4 linked regions of the Struthio camelus genome follow. The protein of the gene in region 1 purifies or fractionates together with the protein of each later gene. This does not show direct contact. Links are inferred from orthologs where the notes say so. Each region holds a gene or a part of one and is shown in the gene's direction. Other genes may lie near its edges.

Region 1 (7,098 bases):
CATATGTAAGCATGGAAAAAAAAAGATGTCTTTTAAAATAGCAATAAGATACAGATGATTTTTCAGAGGCATTTAAAAATATTAATGGTGTAAAGACAGCTTGACAAACACGGGATGATTATTCTCTTCTCCACAGGCCAAAGTACAACGGTGGCATCCTTCCAAACAGCGCTCAAGATGTTTGATTTCTATTTCAGTTGATATTTGACAGAAAGGACTTTATTTTTACATTATCGAGGGGAAGTGGATAGGAGTACTTTTTCTGTTGTTTTTCCTACTTGCTTCCCTTGATTACCCTACTGCCTTTCTACTTGTACTGTTTGAAGTGTTTTATTATCCATGGTCAGACACCTGAGGGCCTTCAGGATTTAAGTTATCTTCAATAGTCCATTGTTATTTTAAGGTGTGGTATCCAAACATCTACCAGCTAAACACTTGATGGTTAGTGTCTGCAACATATAAATAACAAGCTAGATGAAGAGCACAGTGGCCTGGAAAAGACGCAGACTGAAATTAAAACATATATCTGCTCTGAAGTTCTCTGTGGTTCAACATCTAAGTTTTAAGACAAACTTCTACTTCATGATTAGCTAAGGTAATAAGATGAGGAATTAGGAAATCCCAATGGTAGCCTGAAAAAAAAAGGCTTTGCATCAGATGAATCCTACGCTTGAATTTCACTTAACTAGAAATAAGAGTAGCATCCTGCTTTCCTTCCTCTGGCCACACATTCCCTTGTGTCTAGTGATCTAGCGATGGTTAGCCTTGAAGTCAGTTGCTCCAATGAGCTCATCTGACAGAAGACAAATCCACCAAAAAATATGAAGCATTTTCCATTGAACTGGTTTGCCCAGCTGTTTCATTCCGCAGTCTCACTTGTACAGGATCTCATGTAAGAGGGAGGAAGACAGAATACATGGCTGAAGAGAGATGGAGAAGACTGCACTTTTCAGCATTAGCCTCCAGTCATACTGTATTAGGTGCACCCTAAAACTGTACTCAGAAGGTATGGTTCCACAAGTTGAGGTTAGGTGACCTAACACTTATGTGGGGAACACCCCCTCTTCCTCTTCTCCTCTCTGCTCCTGACTGTTAAGACCCTCCACGATCAGATTTCACTCATTAACCCAGAAGGAAATGAACCCAACAAAAACATTAGGTATTTTTCTGTCTTGTTATTAAGTAGCTCATGGAAGCATATGATGATGAAGGATGTAAGGGAGGGCAACCATCTGCGATTGGGAGATGAGGAGTGAGCAACATATCTGCTTTTCAGAGCTGGTGAACTCTTAGATCAGATCAGCTCTTCATAGATCTGCAGCTGTAGAAATCAGTTTGCTCAGCAGATCATCACCGAAAGGTTGATTCTAGAACAGATAAAACTCAGTTGAGCAGGATGAAGCAAGCTATTTTTGCTTGTGCTAACAGATTCTTAATACTGTGATCAATGTGCCATTAAAAAGACAATCTGAAATCAAAGAGAATCTGAAACGTCTCATAATCTCACTGTGAATGGAAAGATATAGTCACGGCTGCACAACTTAAAATGTTCTCAGACTACTAAAAGCAAATTAGGCAACAATGCTTAGTTATTCAGGAAGGGCATAGGCTTTTAAGGCGTATATCTGGCTCAAAACCAACCCATCTATGACAAAGTTTACCCAGGGGAAAGAAAACCAAAAGCACTGAAGAACCGAGGAAACAGAGGTTCTGTTGCTTTGTCCGGGTAAGTGTTTCAAAAGTCAATTCAGCAAATCAGCCACTCAATCTTACCCCAATGGGCCCATGAGCCAAGTTTGGGGCACAAGCCTATTTGACCCAGCCTCTCCCTTAGTCCTAAAGGAGACGACCGCTCCGACATAGTCTGAAGGATTTTCTGTGTCTCTGCACAGCCAGGCATTCCCTGAGGCCTTGAGGCTCATCCTATCCTCCTACACAGAAGTAGGAGCATCAATTTGGACAAATAAGTCTCTGCCAAGGGGCCTGCACTTCACAGCCACTGCTGCATCTCCAGGGGAATGAGTGGGGATGGACTCCAGACTTTATAAGAAGCAGTCAGATGTCCATGCTGCATAGATGAAGGTCAGCAGTTTGTGAAGGGGAAAGAAGAGGGCAGCTGCTGCACTGAAAGATTGTGGGGTATTGGCATGGTTGGGTGGGAAAAGCACTGTTGTCAAAAGGAACGAGAGAGCAGCTCCTTGGACATAAGGAGTGGGAGGCAAAGATCAGCCTCCAGCAACCTCCTACAACCGATATTTACCCTTTGGGCTGTTAAGTTTGGGTATCCCGCTGATGCCATAAATTTTTAACTAGTGAAACTAGTAGTACAGCCCTGAAATATTTTAGAAGTACTCCAATACTTCTGACCAATTCAGATGTTAAAAAATGAATGTGAGGGAAGAAAATAATTCAGCAGAGGGATTGTTTTATTTTCAACTCTAGAGGATTGCTTTATTTTCCAAAGTTGTTATTTCTGTTTACACACCCATGGAGACATTGTAACAAATCAGTGAATTGGAGGCACAACCAGACAGCTTCACTGATTACATCTTTTCTTGAACAAAATCAGGGAAATAATACTGTATTTTTGAAAAAAAAAAAAGGGCAAGCAAAAAAGTGTAGAACTATTTGATGAGATTTTCTCTGCTCCATAGTTTAAAGAGAGTTCCCAAACTATCTACAGATTGGAACTTTGAATGCTGTTGTATACTGTAAATGAATTTTAAGAAACTCCTGTTGGCAGACTTTTCTTCTTCTTGGGGTTGCCAAATCTCATTACTTTATTACAAATCCCGTAATGTTCAATTGATTTCTTAAACCACAATTCAAAGAATCATTGATTAACGAGCATCTTGCCTTTCCTTTTTTTTTTTTAATAAGTAAATTTCTCAGGGACAAACTTATTGCAGTAGGTAAAAAGATAATCAGAGTAAACACCAGAGCAGTCAGAGATGTTATCATCTATCTACTACTTTCTCTAATCAAGAGTGATGAGAATCACTGTTTGCTAGGGGTTTTTGCAGCTGCCTGCTGACAACAGAAGATGGCGGAGTCTGGGGACTCCACGTTTTTCAGTGGAAGTGCTCACAGAATTATAAACCTCGGTCCCTGATTAGCTTTCTCTCTGTGCTCTCCGATCTTGCCCTCCACCTTAGCTTCAGCCTCTATCTCTTCACATTACTGCCAGTTTCATGAATTTCAGAAATTCCACTGGCTTCACTGTGACCCCACCCAGAGCTAGGGGTCGGTTTGCAGTTATCAGACCATATACAGCAACATTTAAAAATAAATGGTATTTTTAAAATATAGCTCGATTGTCTGCAGGTTCAAGGGCAGGGTTTGCATCTGTTAACTGCCCCACCAGCTGATCGCTGCATGCAGCACCCTGTAATTCATGCAAAGCCACCTTTAGGTTGCACCTAGAGGTCTGCACATGCAAGTCATGCTTCTGGTTGGCCATTGTGAGGCCTCGTTGCTTGCCTGACACAAAACCCAGGTAGGAGCTCAGGGTTCTGCCCGATTTAAAGCTTAGGGTTTTGTTACGTTTTCGTTATCACTTAGTTTTCTTAAGTCATTAGGAAAACGCGATTCCTGCCTCCAACTAAAAAAAGCACCTAAGGGATTTTTGGGTGTCAGAGAGCATAGAGTTAACAAAGTTATGACGCTGTTCAATGGCAAGCCCTCTCTCTGGGTTCGTTTTCCCCGTCTGCAGGGTACATCTGAGTCTCACCGAGAGGCTCTTCGGTCAAAACCCGGGGACTGGAAACGCATGTAAAACAACAAGTCCTGACCCTTGAGTAACGGCCCAGCTCCAGCAGGGGGTCGTTTACAAACACTGCCTCGGGGGCAGACGGGGGAGACGAGACCACCTCTCCTTCACACCCACACGCCCTTCCCAGCCAGCCCCGCTGAACTCCTTCCCCCCTCCCGGCCCTTCCTCAGCGCCCGCCTCAGCGCCAGCGCCGCCCTCCCGCCTCGCCTCACGGCAGCCGTTACCCACCCCTCAGCCCCGCCCCGCCCGCCGCGCTTGGGGGAGGAGGGGGAGGGGGAAGGAACCGCCCTCCCCACCCTTCCCCGCACTGCGCATGCGCTGGCCGGGGAGGCGGTGGGGGTGGGGCGGCTGCAGTTCGCACCTCCGCTGAGGGGGGCGCTGCCGCCTCGCCTAGCGCGGGCCTGGTGCCGCCGCCGGTTCTCGCTCGGGTCCGCAGCCGGGATCATGATGGCGGCGGCGACGGCCGGGGGAGGCGGGGACCGAAGCAGCACCCGGGACCGGCTCCTGGCGGCGCTGGAGGATCTCGAGCTCCTGGCCAGGTACCGCGCTCCCGCCGCGCGCCGGCTGAGACGGCGCCAAGCTCGGGCGGCGGCCGATGGGCCAGAGGGTGCTCGGCGCTGTACGGGCGCGGAGCCTCGGACGGCGCCGGCGAGCCGAAGCCGGGGCGGGTGCCGCCGGGGGCTGAGGGGGCCCGGGAGGGGGGAGATCAGCCCGACCCCAACGCCGGGGCGGCACGGGGCCCTGCGTTTTCCTGCTGCCGCCGCCCCGGCACCGCCTCCAGGCCGGCTCCTGGGGCAGCGGGGTGCGTGCTGCGTCTGCTGCAGGGCCCCTGCCCCGCCGGGGCGCCGCCGGAGACGCTTCCTCGTATTCCGTGTTCTCAGAGCAGAACGGGCAGCTTCCTTATTCTTCGGCTTGCCTTCCTTTCTTGGTTGTCACCTGCGTTTCCTGTTGAGACAGTCTCCCCACCCCCCCTTCACAGAAGAGGTTTGAAGCGTTTTATTATTCACTGAAAAACGGCGCATATGTCAGAGCTCTGTAGATGGTATTGCACGACTTAAGCCGTTCTGGTCATTACCAGTTCAACTCTGTCAAAGCAGGCTGTAAAGCGTGTCCTTGGAGTGATGCAAATGCTCAAGTAGGTAGCCCGCGCTCTTCAGGCTGGACTGCAGCTCCCCATCCAAGCTGTCCACCATGTTGTGGGAGTCCCAGCTAGCAGTGCAGTGAAACTGGTTGCTAATTATCTTCTTCCTCGCAAGGAGAGCAGGAGCTTAGGAAAACTTTTTCACAGGGAGCAATCTAAAGTGTTCATGTGGCTGGTTCGCTCTTTCTGATTACCCCAGGTAGGACAAGGACAGTATACTGTCCAGTTGCTCTTCTTCTTTCTAGTTAGGTTTTATTTTCAGTTTTAGATTTTGTTGTGACTTTTGGGTTGCTGGAATGGGGGAGAACATCTGCTGTTTTAGGAAAAAACATTTTGCTCTTTATCTAAATGTTTACTGATTTTTAGGGGGACTAAGATTCCATCATAATGAATCCAGAGCATCCCTCAGCAATATTTTTGTGAATCTTCCTGTTAATCAGCAAAGTGTTGAAGCACCATGGCATTAGACCTTTCACAGTCATGATATTGCCTTGGTGGTAGGAGCAAAGGAGCCTGCTTCAGATAAACTTATACATGCACAGCACTGAACTTCAGCCCATGTCATTAGAAGCCAAACATATTTGCCCCATTTACACCAAGTGCCTTTTTGCATCATGGTGTTGTTGTTTAGCAAGTCCCTTTAGAGGTTACTGACAGGTTTTCATAATGGTGGCAAAGTAAACGGGTATATGGAGGCACAATCAAGAGGTTTAGTTGAGATGCCCTTCTAACCTAGTCCCAGAATATTATTAGTTTATTCATATTTTTGTATGTATTTGATATACAGCTGATATACCATTGTGAGAATACTTGTTTTTATAATAATAATAGTTTCACAACAAACTCTTTAAATGTTTGAAAGCGTAGGTTTAATTGCTCTAAACCCAAGTGTGAAACTTGCTCTGTTGTAAAAACAGAGAAAAAGTAGAGAAGTAAAATAATGATAACAACTTATACTTTCATGTTCTCTTGCAATAAACAAGGGTGATAAAACTAGAGCACGAATGTATTTCATTGTCTTTTTTCTTCTCCCAGCTTCTATTTATGTCTCTTTCAGTTTGGCACGTTTCTTGCTCATGTGCATTTGTGCTCGCTTTGTGAGCTCAAAGGAGAAAAAATAATTATGTGAATAGTCTCATGATTTGAGCACATTTTTTTCTTTCTAAGTTGAGAAATCCCTGACACAGCTATGCTACAAAACTACAAAATGCTCAAGCATGTGAGTACTTTTGTAATGCTGTCAGTACTCTGAAAATTTTGGGATGACTTAGTCTGATTTGTAAATAGCATAGAAAAAATAGCATAGCAAGTTGTATAAATACACAGTTTTCTTTTCAGAGAACTAATTGAAATACTGGCAATTTCAAGAAACCAGAAGCTTCCGCAACCAGGAGAAGAAAGCCAGGTAAACTAACTTTCTTAACAGTATTTCTTTGTGTGGTCAGATGTTCTACTTTACTTCTTTCTTTTTTTTTTCCTCTCTTGTCCCTGCGTATGTTTAGACTAATGATGATGATGAGTTTTTGGCCACACTAAAATGATATTCCTGGTCCTTGTGGTGCTTTTTTGTTTATTTTCTTTACTGCATGCTTCATAGGTTGTTTCTGCAAACAGAGCGAGAAGTTTGTTTCATTTGGCATGCAAACAGAAATACTCATGTAGATATCAGTTGTTCTTCCTTGCTGCATAATTGTGGGTATGCTGTTACTCTGACTAAATTAAAAGTTCTATGAAACTCTTGTCTGACAGATCCTGGAGCTGCTGATTCAGAGGGATGGAGAGTTTCAAGAGCTAATGAAGCTGGCAGTTGATCAGGGGAAAATTCATCATGAAATGCAGCTTTTAGAAAAGGTAGTAGAAAAGAGGGATAGTGATATTCAGCAGCTGCAGAAGCAACTAAAAGAAGCAGAGCACATACTGGTAAGTTCAAAGGTGCTGTGCTTGCTTTTAAGCACCTACTTCTGAAAAAGGTGGTTCTGGAGAAAACAGTGTTGTGTTAGTTTGAAAAGATTCAATATTTAAAACTTCACAACCGCTTAGCGGAGTTTTTCTTTTCAGTAGGCAAACGCTTTTTAGTTATCGGGGCATTCAGTTTTGTTTTACAATGTTAATTTTCTTCCAAAGCTAGTTTACTTTTATATATTTTGAAAATGTTCCCTGAATGGTTTATCCATCAAAATGCAAT
Region 2 (7,014 bases), on another chromosome or scaffold:
GTTGGGACGCCTCCTGCTCTGGGAGGTGCCTCTCCATCCCACACTTGTCCTGTCGCAGAGGCAACCTGGGATCTCTGCAGCTGCAGGTGCGGCTGCGGGACGAGACGGTGCTGCCCTCCAGCTGCTACCAGCCCTTGGTCCAGCTGCTGTGCCAGGAGGTGAAGTCGGGGCCCCAGGTGAGCATTGCCCCTGGCCGAGTGTGCCCCACGTGTCCCAAACACGTCAGCTCCTCCCCAGAGGGGGGGGGGGGTAATCTGCTTCCCTAGTGCCATCATGTCTTCATCCCTTGTCCCCACCAGGATGGCAAAGTGCACCTGATCACCCTCCTTGATGAAACCACCACGGCCGAGTGTCGGCAGGAGGTGGCCATCAACCTGGTCAAGCTCTTCCTGGGCCAGGGGCTGGTCAAGGAGTTCCTGGATCTGCTCTTTGAGCTGGAGCTGGCAAAGCCGTGTAAGGCTGGGAGCTGGGGCTGGTGCGGGGTGGCCGCAGGGTGGGTGACACCTGCCTGTCGCTGTCCCTGACATGCGACCCTCCCTGTCGTGTTTTGCAGGCGAGCCCAACACTCTCTTCCGGAGCAACTCCCTGGCCTCCAAGTCGATGGAGTCCTTCCTCAAGGTGCTGCGCGCTGCCCCCGGCATGGGAACGTGCTCTGCCCCCCTGCTGGCCCGCCGGGCTGCACCCTGCCTGCGGCGGGCCCCTGCTGGGAGCTTTGGGGTGAACCCCAATATTTTCAGGTTGTCCCAGCTCCATGCTGCCCCTGCTGGTGCCTGTGTCACCCCCCGCCCTGGGAGGGGGGTTGGCTCTGGGCAGGAGGGATGCCCGCAGGGATCCCTGGCCCTGGCCTGCAGGGATGCTCGTTGCTGGGCGGGGATGTGCCAGGAGGTGGCTGGAGGCTGCACAGAAAGAAACAATCAAAGTAACCCTGGGCGGCTCTTAGCAGGGGGATTTGGGGTGTCTGTAGCGGGTGCCGCTGGCAGAGTGGCAGTGGTGTCCCCAGCACTGTGTCCCCTGCTCTGTCTCTTGCCAGGTGGCCGGGATGCAGTACCTGCACGCTGTCCTCGGGCCCACCATCAACCGGGTGTTTGAGGAGAAGAAGTACGTGGAGCTGGACCCCAGCAAGGTGGAGATTAAAGACGTTGGGTAAGGGGCAGCGCTGCGGGATGCGGACGGAGGGGGAAACGGCAATCTCCCGAGGGCCCCCCAGCCCCCGGCGGGGCTGACGGCAGGCTGTGTCGACAGGTGCTCGGGGCTGCACCGCGTGCAGACGGAGAGCGAGGTGATCGAGCAGAGCTGCCAGCACCTCCAGTCCTACCTGGGGGAGCTCCTGGCCGCCATCGCCAAGTCGGCCCCGGCCTGCCCCGCCATCGTCCGCGCTGCTTTCCGCCAGCTCTTCCGGCGCGTCAGGGAGCGCTTCCCTGAGCACCAGCACGAGGTGGGCAAGAGGGGAAGGCCCTTGGGGGGATGATGGATGATTCGGGGTCCTGCTCTCCCTCGGGGGTGGCCGCGCTCTGCGCCAGGAGCCTTGGCTAAGGCTTGGCATGGGCTACGGGACCCCAGGGTTCCCCTCTTCGGCAGGGGTTGGGTGCTTCCCACTGGGAACGGTGCATGGGGAAAGCAGGGCACGCAGCACCGAACTGCAGCTCCCAGGAGGCCCCACAGCAGTGGCTCAGAATCATGAGACTTTCTGCTTTCAGTTTATTTGAAAATTGGGGAATTTCCCTTGGAGATTCCCAGGGGATGGGGGACTGGAGGCATCGCCCCCCATAGCTTGGAGGCCCTGGGGAAGATGGGGCTCATCTTTGCAAGGTGAGGCTCTTTTGGCCCTCGTCACCACAATTTCACTCCCACCCTATTCGCAGTCACATCCCACATAAATATGGGATTCCTGCTCGTGCCGTGGAGGCAGCTGCCACGGCCTCCCCGAGGCACCAGTGAAGGAGCCCTGGGAATAAATCAGCATGTGCCCTGCCCGGGGAATGTCAGCCCTCGTGTGTTGTGCCTTCACACGTGGCTCATGCCCTCGTGAACATGTTGTATGCCTTGTGCCCTCATGTGCGTCCTGTGCCCCCTGCGTGGCTGCAGAACGTGAAGTTCATCGCCGTCACCAGCTTCCTCTGCCTCCGCTTCTTCTCACCAGCCATCATGACCCCCAAACTCTTCTACCTCCGGGAGAAACACGCCGACTCCCGCACCAGCCGCACGCTGCTTCTCCTGGCCAAGGTGGGATGGGGACACAGAAAGGGTCCCTGGCACCTGCTCTGGGTCACCTGGGCCTGTTTGGGGAGGGGTGGAAGGCTAGGGTCCTGGTGCTGTGTCCTCCTGGCCAGGGTGCTGCGTGGCCCTCCTGGGGTTTGCTGAGTGCCCAGCCGCCATGTCCTTGCGGGGCTGGCTGGTGAGGAAGGGCCAGGACACCTGGGGTCTTGTGTGGTGCCTGCAGCTCTGACTCCGCTGTCCCTCATGGCTCCAGGCCATCCAGATCGTGGGGAACATGGAGGCGGCAGCAGGCCGGGCCAAGGAGGCCTGGCTGGCCCCACTGCAGCCCGCGCTGCAGCGTGGCGTCACCCGGATGAAGGACTTCATCACCGAGCTGGTGGGCATCGAGGAGAAGGAAGGTGAGGGAGGTGGCTGTAGGGACGGGCGCAGCCCTGCGGGCTCCCCCTGACAAGCACGGGGCTGTTCCCCACAGAGCTGGACTTGCAGAACGCCCTCACCCTGCAGACGCTGGTTGTCAAGGAGGGCCCACTCTTCGTCCACAAAACCAGGGGCAAGGGGCCGCTGCTCTCCTCCTCTTCCAAGAAACTGCACTTCTCCCTCACCAGTGAGGCCCTCAGCTTTGCCAAGACCCCCAACTCCAAGGTATGGAGGGACGTGTCTCAGTAGGGCTGGCGTTGCATGGGAAAGGTGCTGGCAGAGCCATGGGCCCCATCTTGGGGACGTGTGCCACCCTGGGGTGCTGGGCTCTGCATTGCATGGTGGGTCAAGGCTGGCGATGGCGACGTGGCAGTGCCCCATAGCTCCCTCCCTCCAGTCCTTGGTGGCTCTCAGGTGTCTCCAGAGGCTGCAGGGAGGGTGCTGAGCCCCACTTTTCCCTCCATCCCTGGTGACAGAAGAGCAGCTCCATCGCACTGTCCAACATCCGGGCAGCTGAGAAGGTGGAGGAGAAGAGCTTCGGCAGCTCCCACGTGATGCAGATCGTCTACGTGGACGAGGAAGGGCAGCAGGAGACGGTGTACCTGCAGTGCAAGGTGGGCGTGGGGGGCCGGGGCCGGGGCCGCCGTGCACATAGGCCCCCCCCCCCCCCCCCAATCACTGCCCCGTCCCGTCCTGCAGTGCGTCAACGAGCTGAACCAGTGGCTCTCGGCCCTGCGCAAAGCCTGCGCCAACAACCCCGAGATGCTCTGCTCCTACCACCCCGGCGTCTTCAGAGGGGACAAGTGGAGTTGCTGTCACCAGAAGGACAAGACGGGTATGGCGGGGCGGGCAGGGGACGGGGGCCGGCCGGGTTCCCCGCTGGGGAGCGGCGGGGCCCGAGCGGCGGCGGGTTTGTCCCCTAGGGCTGGGCTGCGACGCCAGCCGCCACGGCGTCACCCTGCAGGAGTGGAGCGACCCGCTGGAGCCAGACATGGAGGCGCAGCTCATCTTCCGCCACCTCTGCGGCCTGCGGGAGCCCATGAGGTGCGGCGGGGGCCAGGGTGGGGGGCTGGGGGGCCACCCACTGCTTGTGGCTTCATCCCTCTCGCTTCAGGGAGAGGTACCGGGAGCTGCTGGAGGCCCAGGAAACCCCCAATGGACCCTGGAGCCGCCCTGAAGGTAGCGTGGGTGGTGGGGCGGCCATTTTGGGAGGGAGGGACCCCCCCCCAACAACCTGTGGGGGGTGGGTGCCAGGGGAAGGGGTGCTTCAGGGGGCCGCCGGCCTCACTCTGCTCGTCCCCCTCCACAGGGGGGCCGCTGCCCGAGGGGCTGGGCCGGCTCCTGGCCGTGCTGGGGGACCTCGAGGGCTGCCACTGCCGGGCGCACCCCGCGCCCGCCCCCGGCCCCCTCCTGGAGCTGCAGACCTGAGGGGCCCCCCCGCGCCCGGGGACGCCGCCACTGAGGGGCACGCGGGGCCTCCCCGCCCCGCGCCGCCACCGCCAAGGCAATAAAGGCTCCTCGCACCCTGCGCCCCGTCGTCCTTCCTCGGCGCTGTGGGGCGGCGGGGTGGCCCGGGGGGGGGGGGGAGGACTGAGGACAGGGCGGGTGGCCGTGGTGCCATCGCTGATGGCAGCACTAAGGGCGCTGATGGTGACATCACTGGTGACGCCATCTGGCATGGCTGGTGGCCCGGGGGGGGGGGGGGGCATCGCTGGCGGTTCCGCGGGCGCTACCGCGGCTGGCGGCGCTGCTGGGGGCACCGCCGCCGACGTCACTGATGGCGCTGCCGCCGACGTCACCGCGGCGGCTGCGCGGAGCCCTGCGGGGCGCTGGAGGCGGCGCCGCCGGAAGCGGGAGCCGGCGGCGGGCGGAAGTGACGCGCTGGGCGCTGTGGCAACGGCGGGGCGAGCGGCGGCGGCGGCGGCGGGATGAACGCGCCTCCGGCCTTCGAGTCCTTCCTGCTCTTCGAGGGCGAGAAGAAGTGAGCGGCGGCGGCGGGAGGGGGGTCCCGGGGGCCGGGCGAGGGCGGCTCCGCGAAGGGAAGCCCGGGAGGGGGAGCCCGGTGCCCCGCGGCCCGGCCCGGGCGGGCTCCGCGTTGGGGCGGCGCCGGCGTTGACGGGGGTGTGTGTGGGGTGTGCGCGCAGGATCACCATCAACAAGGACACGAAGGTGCCCAACGCCTGCCTCTTCACCATCAACAAGGAGGACCACACGCTGGGCAACATCATCAAGTCGTGAGTGGGCCGCGGCCGGGGGGGGGGGGGGGGCGGCCGTTGGGGCGGCCGGAGACGCTCGCGGCGCTCAGCCCGGTCGGGGGCTGCGGCGGGTCTAGCGGGTGCTGGCAGCAAAGCATGGCTGCCCACTGCTGCTCCCCTTCCAGGCAGCTACTGAAAGACCCGCAGGTGTTGTTTGCGGGCTACAAAGTGCCGCACCCGCTGGAACACAAAATCATCATCCGCGTTCAGACCACGCCGGATTACAGTCCCCAGGAAGCTTTCACCAACGCCATCACAGACTTGATCAGTGAACTCTCCCTCCTGGAGGAGAGGTTCAGGGTAAGCTTGTTTACTTTAGCTTTTATTCTATTTATTACTTGCAGAAAGCTCACCTGCTTGAAAGTTAAATGGAAGGGGTAGTGTATGTTAGAACTGCTGCCATTTTTAGGCAATGAATTCATCAAAGCTACGTGCAGCAGCTCATAGCACAAACAGCTCCTGTCAAGGGATGGTGACGTCTGGCCGCCCTTACGGGGCAAGGGGGGAGAGGGCGGGGGGGGGGGGGGTGCGCTGGCATACCCTACAAGAGTTAAATGGGTGCTTTGTCTTTCCTAGTTGTCCAGTATTGGATTTCTCCCAGTTTTATTGGAATGGAAAACAATTCTCTAGTTCTTCCAAGTCCCCTTTTTTTTTTTCCCCCCCCTTCTGCCAAAACTCTTTCAAGGGACAGTATTTGTTTTTAATACTTTTTTGGTTAATTGTGCTCTAATGTACAATTCTATTTTTTTAGCCTCAGATCTTTTTTAGATTTAATCTAGCTGAAAAGTATGTCAGACAAAAGCAGGGAGAGCTTTGAATAACGTAGTATATGTGTAATATTCTTTGATATGCTCATAAAAGGTAACAGTGCACTAGGAATTCTTTTGCCAGTATGTTTTGATTTTACTTTAAATATTATTTAGCATGTGGCGCAGAGATTTCCACTGTTTCGCAGTTGTTCTTGTGCTTCGCAGAAGACTGATACCTATGTTTAAAATAACTTCTTCCATCTCGGTGATATTTTTTGTCTTAGTGTCTGTATTTTTTTTTTGTTTGTTTTACAGGTTGCCATTAAAGACAAACAAGAAGGAATCGAATAAAATTATCATGTTTAGAATGGACTGTACCTCTGGTATAGAGTGATATGGCTATTAGTTGAATGCTTTATCTGAACCGTCATTCATGGCAAAGATTTTCTACTTGTCCCACTCGTCGTTTAATTCTTGAAAGTAGTCGCAATAGTTTGGGGCTTTTTTGGGTCCTATGCCAAGAGGATTAAAGTCTTGTTTGATTTGATGGATACTTCATTAAAATCACTTTTTACTTTTCTAATTGGAACCATAAGGCAAATACTTGTACTAGGCTGCTGGCAGGGGTGTATGTTAGCCTAGTGACTGTACTTCCAGTGTGAGAAGTTCCTGAGTGATAGGGGTGGATGAACTCTCTTAGCACAGCCCCAATCCTATATATATATATGTGTGTGTGTGTGTGTATATGTTTTTCAAAAAGTCTTTGCACTGCCAACTGAACTGGTATTTTGTTTTATTAAGTGTCAGTTCTATAAAACAAATGCACAAATTGTGAAAACTTACAGTAAAAGAAACTGGATGTTTACAATGACTTGAGGAGTTGTAACAAACTCTTCCCTTTTTCTCTTGCATGATAATAGCTGGTCTAGAAAATATGGTTACATGGGTAACAGTCACTAATACTGCACTATTTCAAAGCACGGGAATGAAACTTTCCATTACAAGTAACTATGACTTCTTCCAAATGGCTGTTATGTTCACACTAGTTAGAGCAACAAGGTAAGTGAAGGTGGGGTCTGTTATCACATTGTTTATTAGGACTTCAGTCAGCTGCTCCCCATTTGCTCGAAGCTCTGGCCATTTGAGAATCTAGGAAGAGAACAGAGTTTTTGTGGGTTTTTTTTCTTTCTTTCTACACAAAGACAAAAGGAACAGTATTGCGTCTGTAACTTGGAGGATACTAACTACTGCACGTCCTAGTTTGACAATTCGTTTGCTGTGGAATCTGCTTCCAGCACAGTGCTACATCTCTACCGACCTGGGGAAGCTGACTGGAAGAGTCCTTCCCCTTTTTCATGGCAGGACATACACCTTTA
Region 3 (6,875 bases), about 34 Mb from region 1:
CTGTTTTCTCTCCATCCTTAGGCCAGGTGCCTGCAGCCCCCATAAAAGAGAGATGTGCAGAGGCACTTTTTTCCATTGTATTTTCTTATAGGGGCAGGCTTGGGCATCTCTGCATTTAGCGCACGTGTGAACCCCGTCACAGCTGCCTAAGCCTCTCCATGCTGCTTGGCCACCCATAGCACTGCCCCAGAGCTGAGCACGCAGTTTCCAGGTACCTGAGCCTCATGCTGCCTGCGCCCAAATGTCAAATACCTACTCGGAAAGTCCCACGTTGGTGCTGCTGCATCAGCACTTTAGCCACACTCTGTAAGGTACCATTCATTTTATGTTTATTTATGCTTGGTTGAAAAGCTTCTCGGGACCAGAGCTTTTTGCATCTGCCTATTAAAACACTCTGGCACTTCACAGACAATTAAATAATTGCCTCACTAGTCTTCTTTTTCCACTCGTCTCTCCTATCTGGTTTTCCTTTCATGTTTATTTTATTTGATTGATCCACTTCTTCTATTACGTCCTTCACCTCTCCCTCTTCCACGCGCTCACTAGAAAACAAGGCACAGCTTAGGCTAGAGGAAAGTGTAACCTTAGCCCCCTGGCTAAGATGGATGTTTTGGGAGAAGAGTAGCTCAGGTTGGCTGGTTGCCTCTGTGCCTGCTGCAGGTTCCTGTGCTCCTTTAGTTACTAAGGGGCCGCTTTGGGAGGAGATGGAGAGACAGGCTGGTGGCTCTCAAAGAGCCTCCTCTCACTTTGTCAGCCTCTTGTTTGCAGCGGGAACCCAGTGAATGTGACCACATAGTTTTATCCATGTACAACCTTGCTCTGCTCCATATTTCTACCTCCGCTGGTACCATGCTGCTCAGGCAGCTGCTTCCTGACTTCACAAACACCATCTTCACACGTGGAAATATATCTCCGAGCTTAATACAAAAGCTTTGTTGGGACGAGGTTTTTCTCAGAGGGATATAAACTTCCCTAGGTTCAAACTATGGGGATAACTACTTATTGCACAGGAATCCCCGATCAGTAATTGATCCAGTATGACCCCTATGTGGCTAATTACTGACTGCCAAGGCAATTTCTGTTTAAACCGGACTGATAGTTAATTAGTCTCCTGCCCATCAAAGTCACGACCTTGTTTTGGCACGAGGAAAGCAGAGGGTGGCATATCTGGCCAAAGCACCTCATTGCTGCTCCAAAAACAGACAGACGAGGTATTAATAACTGAAAATGAAAAATGGGAAGTGAGCATCCAAGAAGAGGCAGAAGCTTTCTTCGCCTGCCATTTCCTTGCTCTCTTTCTTCTCTCCCTCCTCTGAAAAAACATTGCTCATGGGCTAAAAGACCAAATAAAAATGCAGAAGTACAATTTCCACTTGATCACTTTCAATTAGTGGCAAATACTACTGCCAACTCAGTTTATACTACAGAACACAAGAAATACTGCTAGTGTTAGTTTTTTGTCAGACTGAGAACTGACAGTTTATTTCTGCTGCCTGTCTTGCCTTTCAACCACTTTCCAATCCATAGCAGAATTTACCTTCTACCTCATGACTACCTAGTTTCCTTAGTAACTTCTTGTAAGTGTATGACAAAAGCTTGTGAAAGTCCAAAGAGATTGTCAAATCTTTATTTACTGAAAATGATGTGTTCTAAAATCTACTAGATCTCTGCCCAATCTAATTCAGTTAGTAATACCCAGGTATTAAGTCTCCCCCAAACCAAAATGTAATACTCTTGCTTGTGCAAAGATATTTAACACCTGCAGGCTTCTATATGTTGTCCATTTCTGTCCTGCATGTATGAATTCAATACCAAAATGATTTTTTTTTCAGTTTTGTACATATTTCAAAAATGGTTTATAGAAAAAGGCGGTTAAAACCATACATTTTGATGCCTTCAGGAGGTTTTTAGATTGCTTAAATATTACCCTAATGAGTGCTTAAATAAAATTTACTATCAGCTTACAATTTATTTTGAAGAAAAAAAGGAACCAAATTCTAGACATAAAATAATCAGAACAGCTTGAATGGTGAAACAAATGAGAAAGGAGCAAAAATTAGTAATAATCATATGTTTCATCATTTGCATTACCTGAAACCTCCCAGCACAGTATAGGTTTCCCCTTGCTAGACGATGCAGATGCAAAATAGCGGTCAGTCCTAGGAGCCTGCCATGTAAGCAGGCAAGACTGAGGCTCGCAGGAGACAAAACAAGCCAGCAGTGCAAAGAGTATGGATGGTTTGCATTAGATACGTTGTCAGGGAAAGGTTGAGAAGAAAGGAATCCAGGAAGACTTGGGCATACTCCTAAAATCTTTTGGGCAGTTTTTTCCTCTGAAGATTTGAGAACTCTTCCTCTGCCGTTGGCAAGTTTGAAGAGTTCCAGTTAGGCCATCCACACCGCTCAAGGGACTGCAACGAATAGCTGTGTTGTTGCTGTCCTTTTACTGGTAGCCGAACAACTCTCTGCTAGGAAGCTTTTGCTCAAAATGTATAGTGAAGGGGCAACCAGGAAAGCAAAAGTTTCAAATGATTAATGCTATCAACTTTTGGAAGCGCTATTACACCTTATGTGTCAAAGTTTAAGGAAAGCTGCTGATATTATGGATTAGGAGATTTAATGTTGGAGTCAGATCATCTCTTTTCAAATCCAAAGGCACCTATGTCTTTTGGAGAAGCAGCTAGAGCCGGCGCACAGTCAGAGACGGGATAGGGAACCAGGAGAGCTCCCCCCAAGCCAGTACAGCTACTTCCTGGTCCGCATAAAAGCCAAGTTGGAAACAACCTGCAGCAGTATATAACAGCTGGTAATACCTTGCATACGAGAGAGGAAACAGTTGTGTATTGAAAATATACTATCTAGCATTGTTCTGCACCTCGAGTGGGTCGGATGCGGATGCACCCCGAGCAGGGGGAAGCGGGAGCCCGGCTGCTGCTGCTGCATCACGTCTCGCCGCGCACGTGCCACCGCGGCGATGCTCATGGCGGCAGGGAGGCTCTGCCTCCCCTGGGCAGCGCACGGCTGATCTGAACATACTAAAACGCCCGTTTCAAATAGGATCTCATCTGAGCAAAGTCTTAAGGAACGGGTTTCTCTGGAGTAAAACCAGAAAGGACACAGATACTTTAGCCAGTTCTCTCAGATTAACCTTCCCGATATTTCTAAGTCTTTACGTTGGCTTCTCAAGCGCTGCCATAAATTAGGATTGTGGAAACTCGCCGAGAGTGAACCGGTGAAACATATGGCAAGCCGCAGACATGATGGCTGGAAAGGAGCGCGGCGCGGCGAGCCAGCGCTTCAGCCGCCGCGCGCCCTCCTCCTAACTGGCGTCGCCGCTCGTGCAAACTGCAAGCAGAGGCGAAGGATGTGCAAACGGGACCGGCCGGGCCAAGGAGACGCTGCCAAGCGTTCCTAGAAGGAGATTTTACCAAAACGCTCGCCCTCGGCCTATGATGAAAACCGCTTTTTTTTTTTTTTTTTTGCTCTTTTTGTCTGGACCGTTCGCCCGACAAGGGGGAGCCGGTGACTTTTCCCCTCCTTCTAACGGGCTGCCCACACCGGGCCCCGCTCGGGCGCGGCAACAGCGGCGGCGGCGCGGGGCGCCCCCCGCTAGGGGGCAGCGCCGACCGCCCCCCGGGGGCCGGGGCCGGAGCTGGGGCCGGGGCGGCGGCGGAGCCCGGCCCGCGCCCCCCTGCCTGCCTGCCTGCCTGCCTGCCGCCCCCGCCCCCGGCGCGCCGCCCCCCGCCGCCGCCTCCGCCGCCGCCGGTGATGTCATGGGGCGGCGGCGGGGGGCGGCACTGCGGCTTGGCGGGCGTCTGGCGGCGGCGGTGGGGCCGGGCCGGGCGAGGGGCGTCGTCATCTGCATTCACATGGGGGAGGCGGGGGCAGCGCCGGCCGCCGCGGCCTCCGCCTGAAGCCCCGGCCCGAAAAAAAAAAAAAAAAGAGGTTGGGGGTGAGAGGGGGGGGGAACGCATCCAAAAAAAAAAAAAAGATTTAATAATAAAAAAGGGGTGTCCTCGCCGGTGCGCTGCCTCCGCCTCGCCCTCCGCTGCTCGCCGGAGCCGGGCTCCTCCTGGCCGCGGCCATGAATTCCGCGGAGCAGACCGTTACGTGGCTGATCACCCTGGGCGTGCTGGAGTCGCCCAAAAAGACCATCTCGGACCCGGAGGGATTTTTGCAGTCGTCTCTGAAAGACGGCGTGGTGCTGTGCAGGCTGCTGGACCGCCTGCTCCCCGGCACCATCGAGAAAGTAAGTGCCCCCCGTCCGCCCGCTCGCTCGCTCGCCCCCGCGACGCCCTTTGTGCGGCCGCGCCCGCCCCGGCCCCGGCCCCGGCCTCGGTCTCTCCCCTCGCCGGGAGACCTGCCGGGCCGCGGGGTACCGCGTCGGGGCGGCGGCGGCTCAGGACAAAGTCCTGGCGGGCAGGAGGAGGAGGAGGAGGGCGAGGAAGGCTCAGCCCCGGGCGGCCGCGCTGCGCCGCTGCCCCGCGCGCAGCCCCGGTGCCCGCGGCGGTGCCGGGTAGAGCCGAGGGAGAGGGGCAGCTAGGGGTGCACACAGCCTCCCCGGAAAGGGCTTCCTTCCCTTGAGAGCCGCGGAGTTGCAAGTGTTTCACACGGAGAGAAAGAAAAGCAAAAAAAAAGCAAACAAAAAAAACCCCAAACAAAACCAAAAAACCCTAAAAAGCAAAAAAAAAAAAACCCAACAACTTCAGTATATAGTCCTCACTCTTCAATTTGAACGTGCGTTTTTGAGATTTGGACCTTTTCTGCCATGCTGTAAAGCCGGCTGAAAACTTATCTCCCCAACTGCTGGTATAGTCAGTGTCTCACCTCGCTTGGGGCTGTGATTCAGCTCATCCCTTTCAACGTTTGAAGGAGGTTTTGTGATGCTACGCTTAGTTTTGGTGTGGGCTGTTTCGGAATTGTTTTAGGTCTTTTTAGTGCTTTGTAGCCTGTGGAGAAATCTCATCTTTTTGAGATTTGGGGGAAAAAAAAAACCAAAAAACCCACACACAGTTTTATTCTGTGTTGTGTTTGAACAAATATAGTGCGTCAGGTAACTTTCATGTATTGTGTATGCATACATAATTCTTTTTTTTTGTAGTTCAGATGTAGTGAATTGTGATTTTTGGATACTGTACCTTGAGATTTGGAATGATGCAGTTGTCTCACCTGGGCTCAGTGTCCCAGTGTTTCATTCTGCATGCTGGAGGAAGCGTTCAACAATGTAATATACATTATGGTTATATATATATTTTTTTTTTCTGTAACATATGCGCTTGAACTATGTGTAGTGGCAAAACTTTCCTTTTGAACCACGCAAGGTAGTGAAGAGAAGATAAATGAAGGTCATCTGCTACGTTGACAGGAAAATTCCTTGCCTGAAAATAATACTGCATTTTTGAACTTTTTCAGCTTGCAGACCTTGCCACTACAGACATTTAAGCCTGCTGACAGTAGGTTTTCATTACCTTTGGTGGCTCTTTTAAAAGTAGCCCGCTGACCCACAAAGTTGAAAACTGGTACGTTGAGCTAAATAGGGCATTGGACACGGCACTGGCTTTGGTTATCTCCCTTTAGTTCTTGAATTTGCTACATGCTGAAGTGGTTCTTGTGTTGTGGTGTACTGTGGCCCAGAGATCCTGGCCTAGGATGGGGGTCCTGCTACCCTGGGTTGAGTAGGCCGTTCCTGCCCCCCAAAATTTGCAAGCTAACTTGGAGACAATACAGGGATAGAGAAACCACTGGGGAGCTCAGGGTGTTGTCGATGGATCCAAGCGATAGGAGCGGACACGACGTATCGGCCGTGGTGTGAGCGTAGGTGACTCGGGCTCCAGCATGGTGACAGGTGGAGCCAGCTGGGACGCCCAAAGCCGCTGCTGTCCCCTGCTCACTGCTCTGCCCAGGAGTTGCTATTTGTATAAGAGAGCTGGAAGAGGCATGTGTTTGCTCCTGGGGCGCTCACAGCTCGGGTAGGGAAGGTGCAAACTGCTCTCCGTTTCATTCAGTACCCTGCACACTGCAGCTCCGGAGCAGGTGAAATGTCTTTTTCGGCTGCCCGGGGTGACACATCTGGCAGCAGGGAGGACGTGGGGCTGCAGGCTCAGCCATCCCGGCTACCTACGTGAGCAGGAGTCCCCAGCTGCAAAGGCAGGGTCTCTCGCGGCTCCCTTTCCCCCAGGCTCGCTCTCGTCTGGTTAGCACCAAGTCTTCACACAGTTAAGTCTCAGCACAACATCTTACCAGTCCTCTGTGTGCGCAGCCTCGAGTAAGTCTCGAAAGTGCTTTGGACTCCAAACTTTGGGGCAGAAAAAGTATTTCCCTGCGTGCAGATGCCAAGCCTAGTGAAATGGGAGCCCAAACTCAACTTGGGAGACAGGATGTAACTGTATGACAAAATAATTAAAGAGAGCCTGATGGAAATAAGTGAACCGAATAGTGTTAGAATAGTGTTTTCCAACTCAGTGTGCATGCCTGAGTATGGTATATATATGGCTTTGTTAATGTAAATGAGTTTGTTAATGTACATTTCACTTTTTTTTTAAACATCAGGGTGACTGATGTCTTTGATGTTCAGGTAGGGGTCGCTCCCTGACGCGAGCCCACAGGGTTTGTGCAGGGACATGGTTGCCCCCAGCCTACCTTACTCCTGGTATGGTGTGCAAGGAGCTGTCAGTGGGTCTGCGCTGGGGGCTCAGTGGGGTCTGTCTGTCCATGCCTTAATGGACCTGGTGGTGCAGAGAGGAAGGGGTTTGCATGTGGGCTGAGGTGGCCGCCAGGGCGGGAAGGTGACTTGCTTCAGCCGAGCAGTGGGAGGAAAGCTGGAGCTTCGTGGCCTCCGAGCTTCCCGGAGCTAGCCCCGCTTGGGCCAGGGCGTC
Region 4 (7,972 bases), on another chromosome or scaffold:
GGGGCAGCGCACTCCGGCAGCCACGCGGGCACGTGCCCGGGGACACACGTGTGGCCGCGCACACCTCTGCACGCGCCCGGGGCCGCCCAGCCATGCGCCGTCTGCTCCATCACCTTCCCAGCGCCCGGAGAGCGTCGGCGGAGCAAGCCTCGAGCCGGCCGGCTGCTGAGCGCCGCTGCAGGCTCTCATGATGTTGCTTCCCGGCCCCGACTGCAGGCCGAGGGCACCAAACGCCTCCGCTTCAGGGGTTTTGTAGCTAGAGGCAAATATTTGCAAATAACAGCAGTGCCATTGCTGAGCCAAGCCCGCAGCGGGTGCAAGCCAGGCTGTCACACGGATGCGGCTCCTTTTGCTTCCTGAACGGGTCACCCCTCTTCCCCAGGAGCCAGGCAGGGATCGCGACCCAGCTGATGCCTGGGGTAAACTGAGGCAAGGCAGCGCGGTGGCCGGCTGTGTGCTCGGGGCCGCCGAGCCTGCCGTGCCCGGGGACTCCGGCTGTCGGACCGTGTGTTTTCCTGGATCTGCTTTTCCGTGTAGCCGACCTTGCGTAAGAAGCCCTCGGCCCTCGCCGTGTCCTCGGAGCTGGGCCTGCCGCCCGGGCCGGCCCTGCGGCGCGCAGTGACCGTCACGCGATGGCTGGACACTCCCCGCGCCCCTGACTCGTCCCCGCTCTGTCCCCAGCCTCCTGCGGCAGGGCGCTGGCCTTCACCGCCAGGCCGCCGACCCGCTGCCCCGGCGGGCAGCCCAGAGCCGCGAGGAGCTTGGCCCAAACCACTTGTGCCGCCTCTTTTCCAGGCTCTTCTCCGGTGCCTGACTCTCTGCAGCTAAAACACTGCATCTTCCGGCTTTGCACCCTGCCCAGCAGCCCTGCTCCTGCCTCCGCGCGCCCGCATCTACGAGCCGCGGTGGAAAGGGTCTCGCAGAGCGGCTTCAGCAAACCTCCCTCCCGAGGGACGCCAGGGCCCCTCAGATGGACCCTGACCGACGGCAGCGCTCGAGGCAGGGCACAGCCCGCGACAGCATCTCTGGCCGGGCAAAATTAGGGGGATCGGGGCCAGGCGGCTCAGCAGCCACAGGATCACAGCCACGACCTAGCGGAAAGGGCCAGCGCTCCTGACCGCAACGCCGGGCAGGTTTCCCAGAGGCCGGCAGCAGCTGTAACGTTTTGCTCCTATCGCCCGGTGCCAGGCGGCTGCAACCCTGGCAGCACCTTCCTGACTTCGCAGCGCAGCCCTCTGCCCCTGGCAATTTCTGAATCGCTGAGACTTATCCCAAAGCAGCAGCTTAACAAAGCCTTAAACAGAAAATTCAGGCAGACAATGGGGTGCTGGGGCAGGAGGAAGAGATAAAGTTCAACCTGGTGATAGCCATATAGTAAAAAATGATAACAGAGCTGATGACAACGGCCCAACAAACTCCAGATGGCCCGGCAGCGAGAAGTAGAGCCAGGTGAAGTGCCAAGCCATCAATATATACATGTCAAGTCATTGTAACAAAACCTCGGGGAGATGCACAGGCACCTGACTGACGCTGAATTAAGTAGCTGATGGTAAATCCAAAAGAAGTTACCTTTGGAAGCAGGGAAAGGGTGCAATTTGTATAGAAATGACAGAAAGAATAATATTGATATTGGGAAGAAAACAGGCAACAACAAAAGAGGCTTCAGATAAGGTTTATTTGACCAGCTGGTTTTCGGGAAAATAGGCTAATCAAATGTTTGGGCAAGAAATGAACATACACAGTGGTTTAAGATCTGGAAGATCAGATGGCTTGGAGACATTTTCACATTTCATGAACCAATGCCTGGCAGGTGAGTTATACAAAGAGCCACAATCAAATTCATACAGAAGAAAAAAATAGGACAATCACTTGCACTTCAGCTTTATTACCAAATCTAGGGGGAAATTATCCTTTTCATCCACCGCTAAGTATCTTTGTCTATGCTCTAGATGCTTTGCTACGAGTTTTCATAGGCTGCTCACTCAAACCTCTCTGCTGAGGATCTGAAAGCAGGTGAAAACCCCACGGGAAACGAGGGAGTCCAGCTCCCACCGCAGACCAACGCCGGCTCCACGTGGGCAGAACAGCAGGAAGGCCAGACCGAGACAGAGGGCCCACTGGGACTTCAGTGATGTGGATGGTAAAGGCCATGTTTTTGGCAGCATCTATCTATCGGGAACAGCATTGCAAGAACATAACCCAAACGACCAAATAGTCGCTCCGTGGGGACAAGGGTCTCACAGTTTGGAGCTCCACAAGGACTGCTGAGAATTCAGACACACCAGCACTCCTCCACGGCTGAGGTCAAAACTTGTCTCCATGCCTAAAAATCTGTGTTCCCTTCTCTCCCAGACCTATCGGCTGGGTCTGACCTCTTCCTGCAGTCCTCACCAGGGACGCACACCCATCAGTCACCGCATGGGCAAGAGGCCTTGCGCAGGCTGGCACTCAAATCGTGCCAACACAGTGTCACCCAATTAATTCACCAATATCTTCAGGGATGGGGGAGCCAGTGCGACCACCTCCCTACTGCAAAACCGCTTCGCTCTCCCCCTTACTCGCCACAAGACACGACAAGGCCCCGAGGACGGAGATCAGTCACCCAAGGGAGGCAGAGAAGCCGCGCAGGGCTGGGTTCCCACGAGAAAGAGAAGGTGACAGGCAAGGGCAGGGGCTAAAGGCAACAAGATAAAGCTGCATGCTACAGCTGCTGCGAGAACACACAAACAAAAACGGGAACTGAACAGCACAAAGAAATGCTGATTGACAGCGCTTTAGTTCCGGCTGAAGGTGTCGGCATGTCGTCACCTGCTCTAACGACTGCCTGACTCACCACCAAACGCAGAGGGCCAGCGGCCTCGCAATTAGCCACGCTCCTCCGTGAGTCAGGGGGGAAGAGTTAAAACCAGCAGCACAGCACAGAGGAAGGAGACCCCCCCCCCCAGAGCCTCAGCCAAATCTCGCTGTAATAGCCCATACACCAATAGGCAGCAATGAACCTCTGTGCCCAGTGCAGTGCGAAAGACGCAGCATCCTGTACCTCCTGCTTGGCTCTTGCTGTCAGAGCCAAGGACGGTAAAACGCAGCGCCCTTCCTGCAGGGATCTGCTCTACAGGGCCAGGGCCCTTAGCTCCCCGCGGCTCCTTCGCTCGTTCCAGCATCAGCACCCAAACCGGGATCTATTCTTGATGGCAGGAACAAAGTGAGCGATTGCATCTGCTATATTTAGAGCAAACAGTCAATACTCCACGTGTATGAACGGTTACCAGCATTCTGATTTGATATATAAATAGCTTCTGTTTGCTTTTAGAAATAAATTGGTTTAAGAAAGAAAATTGCTTTCCTAGTCATCCTCAGCCCATAACTGATGAGCACGAGGGCCTGTTTCAAATGAAAAATGAAATTATACATTTTTCCTAAGCCAGTTCAGGAAGGAAAACTCATGATTGCGGCTGCTGTTATTAGGGCTGTAATTCTTCATGTTGATGTAGAGGTATAAAAGCAGTTTGCAGCAGCTTGATGAGGCAAATTCCACATCCCTTTGATGCACCATCCCAGATCTCACGGGTTCAAGACCCACGTGCCATCTCAAGCCTCCTCTTTCACCCACAGGTCCATCACACGAGACCCCAGTTTGTTCTCCCTCTACCAATCCTGGCACCAGACTTCTGGCTCTAGCTCAGACTCCTTAATTTAAGCCCATTTTAACCAAACCAGGAGGAAAGCCTATGAGAGTTTGCTCGTGACGATGCAGCCATTGCCCCAGAGGCTAAACTTTAATTCAGTCTTTGAGAAACAGGGGCTTGCAGGGGTGTAGGCACCAGGATCTCAAATATTCAAGCTTTCTTTCCCTCCAACTGATTGTAACCTGTGCTTCCTCCGTAAGGCACAAAGTCCAGTAGCATCAAAGTACCATTAAGGCATTACAAGACCGCATCCCAGCCACTCAACCGCCTCGACAACTTGTCTCCGGTTAAATAAAGGTCAAGCCAGGGATACCAAGTAATGAAAAGCAGTGCAAAATGCTAGCATTAGTGCAAAAAGCTAGCCAGACACAGCCAAACCCTGCTGTCCTGAGGACTGCAATAGTTATTGGTTCTATGGAGAATGATGCAATTTTTGCTCTAAGAATTAATACAAAAGAGGGGGATGTGCACAGGGATTCAGGAAATCAGACTGCTCTCGCTAAGGGGCTGGGAGCTGCCCCTGGGGGCAGTGCAGCATGCTGTTATTGGGACCCCCTCCTGCTCTTCGCCCTTGGGTTACGGGATCCCCCACTCTGTCCTTCCTCCAGCTTCCCACCTTCTGTGCAGAGCTGGGTCCTGCGCAGGACAACGCACCCCCAGCTGGGAGAGAACAGCTCAGCTCCAGCCTTCTCCTGCTGGACCACCCCGTATCACCCGCCTCGCAGGACGGCCAGGCGCGCAGCAGCCCACAGCCCGTCTCAGTGACGGTGCGGCAAAGCTGCTGCTCCAGCCCCACCCCCAGCCTCAGATCCCAGGCCCCAGCTGCAAGTTCAGGCCCAGACCCACACCGCAAGTCAGGCCCAGACCCAGGCCTGAGACCTCAGCCCTGGCCCCAGACCCAGGCCCTGGCCGCAAGTTTAGGCCCCGGCCCCAAGTTCAGACCCAGGCCCCGGCCCTGGCCCAGGGAAGAGCCTCAAGTTCAGGCCCCGGCCCCGGCCCCGGCCCCAGGGAGAGCCCTAGGTTCAGGCCCCGGCCCCGGCCCCGGCCCCGGCCCCGGCCCCGGCCCCGGCCCCGGCCCCGGCCCCGGCCCCGGCCCCGGGAAGAGCCCCACGCTCAGGCCTCGGCCGCGGGCCCGGGCTCACACCGCAGCTCAGGTTCAACCGCCCGCCCCGGGGCCGCGCATGCGCAGTGTGGGCAGGGGGCGGGGCGGGGCAGGCGGAGCCCCGCCCCGTGACGTCACGCGCGGCGCCGGCGGCGCGGGCCGGGGCCGGGGTCGCCATGGCCTCGGGGGGGGGCACCGGCCGCGCCGCCGAGGAGCCGCCGCCGGCCGAGCCGCCGGCCGAGCCGAAACCGCCGCTGCCGCTGCCGCCGCCGCTGCTGCCGCCGCCGCCGCCGCCGCCCGGGCAGGAGGAGTTCTCCTTCCTCCCGCTCGTCCACGACATCATCAAATGGTAACGGCGGGCCCGCCACCCCGCGTGCCACCGGGCCCGGTCCGTCACCGGCGCCTCGTCACGGGGCCCGGTCCGTGTCACCGGCGCCTTTTCATGGGGCCCTGGGCCTGGTCCGTGTCACCGGCCCTCGTGACGGGGGTCCGGTCCGTGTCACCGGCCCCTCGTCGTGGGACTCTGGGCCTGGTCCGTGTCACCGGCCCTCGTGACGGGGCCCAGTCCGTGTCACCGGCCCCTCGTCGTGGAACTCTGGGCCCGCTCCGTGTCACCGGCCCCTCGTCACGGGGCCCAGTCCGTGTCACCGGCCCCTCGTCGTGGGGCCCGGTCCGTGTCACCGGCGCCTTTTCATGGGGCCCTGGGCCTGGTCCGTGTCACCGGCCCTCGTCACGGGGGTCCGGTCCGTGTCACCGGCGCCTTTTCACGGGGCCCTGGGCCTGGTCCGTGTCACCAGCCCTCGTCACGGGGGCCGGTCCGTGTCACCGGCGCCTTTTCGTGGGGCCCAGTCTGTGTCACCAGCCCCTCGTCACAGGGCCCTGGGCCTGGTCCGTGTCACCGGCCCTCGTGACGGGGGTCCGGTCCGTGTCACCGGCCCTCGTCGTGGGGGCTCTGGGCCTGCTCCGTGTCACCGGCCCCTCGTCGTGGGGCCCTGGGCCCGGTCCGTGTCACCGGCCCCTCGTCATGGGGGCCCAGGCCTGGTCCATCACTGGGCACCTCATGGTGGGTGCACTGGGCCCAGTCCGTGCCACCAGCCCCCTCGTCCCGGGGGTCTGATCCGTGTCACCAAGCCCTCGTCATGGGGCCCCGGGCCCCGTCCGTGTCACCGGCTCCTCGTCCCGGGGGCCGGTCCGTGTCACCGGCACTTCGTCCCGGGGGCCTGGTCTGTGTCACCGACCCCTCGTCCTGGGAGTCTGGTCCGTGTCACCAGCCCCCTCATCATGGGGGCCTGGTCCATGTCACCAGCCCCTCGTCCTGGGGCCCTGGGCCCGCTCCGTGTCACCAGCCCCTCGTCACGGGGTCCGGGCCTGCTCCATGTCACCAGTCCCTCGTCATGGGGGCCCGGGCCTGGTCCATCACTGGGCACCTTATGGTGGGTGCACTGGGCCTGGTCCGTGTCACCGGCCCCCTTGTCCTGGGGGACCAGCCCTGGTCCGTGTCACCGGCCCCCTGGTCATGGGGGTCCGGTCCGTGTCACCGGCCCCCTGGTCTCGAGGGTCTGGTCCGTATCACCAACCCCTTCGTCCCGGGGGTCCGGGCCCGATCCGTGTCACCGACCCTTCGTCCCGGGGGTCCGGCCCTGGTCCATGCCACTGGCCCCCTGGTCATGGGGGTCCGGTCCGTGTCACCGAGCCCCTCGTCCCGGGGATCTGGGCCCAGTCTGTGTCACCAGCCCCTTGTCATGGGGGCCTGGCCCTGGTCCATCACTGAGCACCTCATGGTGGGTGCACTGGGCCCGGTCCATGTCACCGGCCCCTCGTCCCGGGGGTCCGGTCCGTGTCACCGGCGCCTCGTCCCGGGGGTCTGCTCCATGTCACCGACCCCTCATCACAGCAGCCCGGTCCGTGTCACCGGACCCCTCGTCACGGGGTCCGGGGCCGGTCCGTGTCACCAGCCCCTCGTCCTGGGGCCCCGGGCCTGGTCCGTGTCACCAGTCCCTCGTCATGGGGGCCTGGGCCTGGTCCATCACTGGGCACCTCATGGTGGGTGCACTGGGCCCGGTCCGTGTCACCAGCCCCCTCGTCATGGGGGTCTGGGCCCGGTCTGTGTCACCAAGCCCTCGTCACAGGGCCCAGGCCCAGTCTATGTCACCGGCGCCTCGTCACAGGGCCCTGGGCCCGATCCATGTCACTGGCACCTCGTCATGGGGGTCCGGGCCTGGTCCATCACTGGGCACCTTATGGTGGATGCACCGGGCCCGGGCCTGTCACCACATGCCTCGTGGTGGGTACACTGGGCCTGGTCTTGTCATCAGGCACCCCTCATCATGGGGGCAACTGGGTCTGGGCCTGTCACCGGGCACCTCATTGCAGGGGCAGCCCTGCACCAGGCCTGCTCCCCATTCCTCTGCCCAGGTGCCTTATCCCTGCTCCGGCCCTTCTCCGTCTTCCCGATTGCGGCCTCCTCCTGCGCGCCCTGGACAGGGAGCAGGGCAGTGGGACCTTCCTTCCCCACAGTGATACTCTTTGACCGCCCCCAGCGTTTCCTTTGCTGCAGACCCCCTTGTTCTCCTGACTGGGGTTGCTGGGGAAGGTGTTACAGGGAGGTGGCGTAGTCCCACACGCGGCTCCGTGGTGAGCCACGCCAGTACATGGCAGCGTACGGATGATCCAGGCGATGCAGGTTATTCTGATGGCCCAGGTACGCTGCCCCGTTGTTATACACCCTCGAGCAGAGAGCATTGGACTGGTGCTGTGTTATTGCCCCAAACTGCTCTACTGTTTGGCTGATAACAGCCTCAGAAAGTACAGGCAGTCCCAGCACAGAAATGCAGTCCATTTCTAGGGTGTTGTAAAGAGGAAGAAGGCTTTTACAGTGGTGGAGGTTGAATTGTTCTCTTCCTGGTTCAAGATCAGTTTTAGGGGTAAAAGGTACTTGTACATGGGTCCTGAGGGGTGTGGTGTTCCCAGGAGGTTTCTGCCCCAGGGCAATAACCCCTTTAGAGATGTCTATCTGAATTCCTGGTGGGAGCATGGCTCTCTGCCGTGAACGTCCGACCAAGGCCAGCTCCTTGTTCTCACCTAGGCACTTGGTAGGGATGAGTTTCCTGCTGATATTTCACTTGGTATCAAGCGTATGTGAAAGATGAGAGAGGTTCACCTTTAAGCATTTTGCAGTCTGAAA

Evidence for each region.
Region 2: the proteins of MED4 (region 1) and POLR2J purify together in Homo sapiens (affinity purification with mass spectrometry; 3 studies listed by BioGRID and IntAct, with this or other methods). This does not show direct contact. The link is inferred for Struthio camelus from reciprocal best matches to the Homo sapiens genes MED4 and POLR2J.
Region 3: the proteins of MED4 (region 1) and ARHGEF7 purify together in Homo sapiens (affinity purification with mass spectrometry; 3 studies listed by BioGRID and IntAct, with this or other methods). This does not show direct contact. The link is inferred for Struthio camelus from reciprocal best matches to the Homo sapiens genes MED4 and ARHGEF7.
Region 4: the proteins of MED4 (region 1) and MED9 purify together in Homo sapiens (affinity purification with mass spectrometry; 10 studies listed by BioGRID and IntAct, with this or other methods). This does not show direct contact. The link is inferred for Struthio camelus from reciprocal best matches to the Homo sapiens genes MED4 and MED9.

What each region holds. Positions count from the first base shown.
Region 1 is NC_090942.1:192,114,133-192,121,230, reverse strand, and holds the start of MED4 (mediator of RNA polymerase II transcription subunit 4), read left to right. Parts: upstream 1-4,082; 5' UTR 4,083-4,216; coding exon 4,217-4,311; intron 4,312-6,251; coding exon 6,252-6,318; intron 6,319-6,662; coding exon 6,663-6,833; intron 6,834-7,098. UniProt on the Homo sapiens protein: Component of the Mediator complex, a coactivator involved in the regulated transcription of nearly all RNA polymerase II-dependent genes.
Region 2 is NC_090957.1:14,405,069-14,412,082, reverse strand, and holds POLR2J (DNA-directed RNA polymerase II subunit RPB11-a), read left to right. Parts: upstream 1-4,465; 5' UTR 4,466-4,562; coding exon 4,563-4,615; intron 4,616-4,778; coding exon 4,779-4,868; intron 4,869-5,014; coding exon 5,015-5,189; intron 5,190-5,953; coding exon 5,954-5,989; 3' UTR 5,990-6,509; downstream 6,510-7,014. Other genes in the region: ras GTPase-activating protein 4, read left to right, coding at 59-176, 300-453, 554-618, 1,031-1,143, 1,243-1,435, 2,086-2,223, 2,471-2,615, 2,690-2,859 and 5 more; LRWD1 (leucine-rich repeat and WD repeat-containing protein 1), read right to left, coding at 6,647-6,787. UniProt on the Homo sapiens protein: Core component of RNA polymerase II (Pol II), a DNA-dependent RNA polymerase which synthesizes mRNA precursors and many functional non-coding RNAs using the four ribonucleoside triphosphates as substrates.
Region 3 is NC_090942.1:158,295,182-158,302,056, reverse strand, and holds the start of ARHGEF7 (rho guanine nucleotide exchange factor 7), read left to right. Parts: upstream 1-3,871; 5' UTR 3,872-4,084; coding exon 4,085-4,249; intron 4,250-6,875. UniProt on the Homo sapiens protein: Acts as a RAC1 guanine nucleotide exchange factor (GEF) and can induce membrane ruffling. Functions in cell migration, attachment and cell spreading. Promotes targeting of RAC1 to focal adhesions. May function as a positive regulator of apoptosis.
Region 4 is NC_090956.1:3,992,650-4,000,621, reverse strand, and holds the start of MED9 (mediator of RNA polymerase II transcription subunit 9), read left to right. Parts: upstream 1-4,964; coding exon 4,965-5,137; intron 5,138-7,972.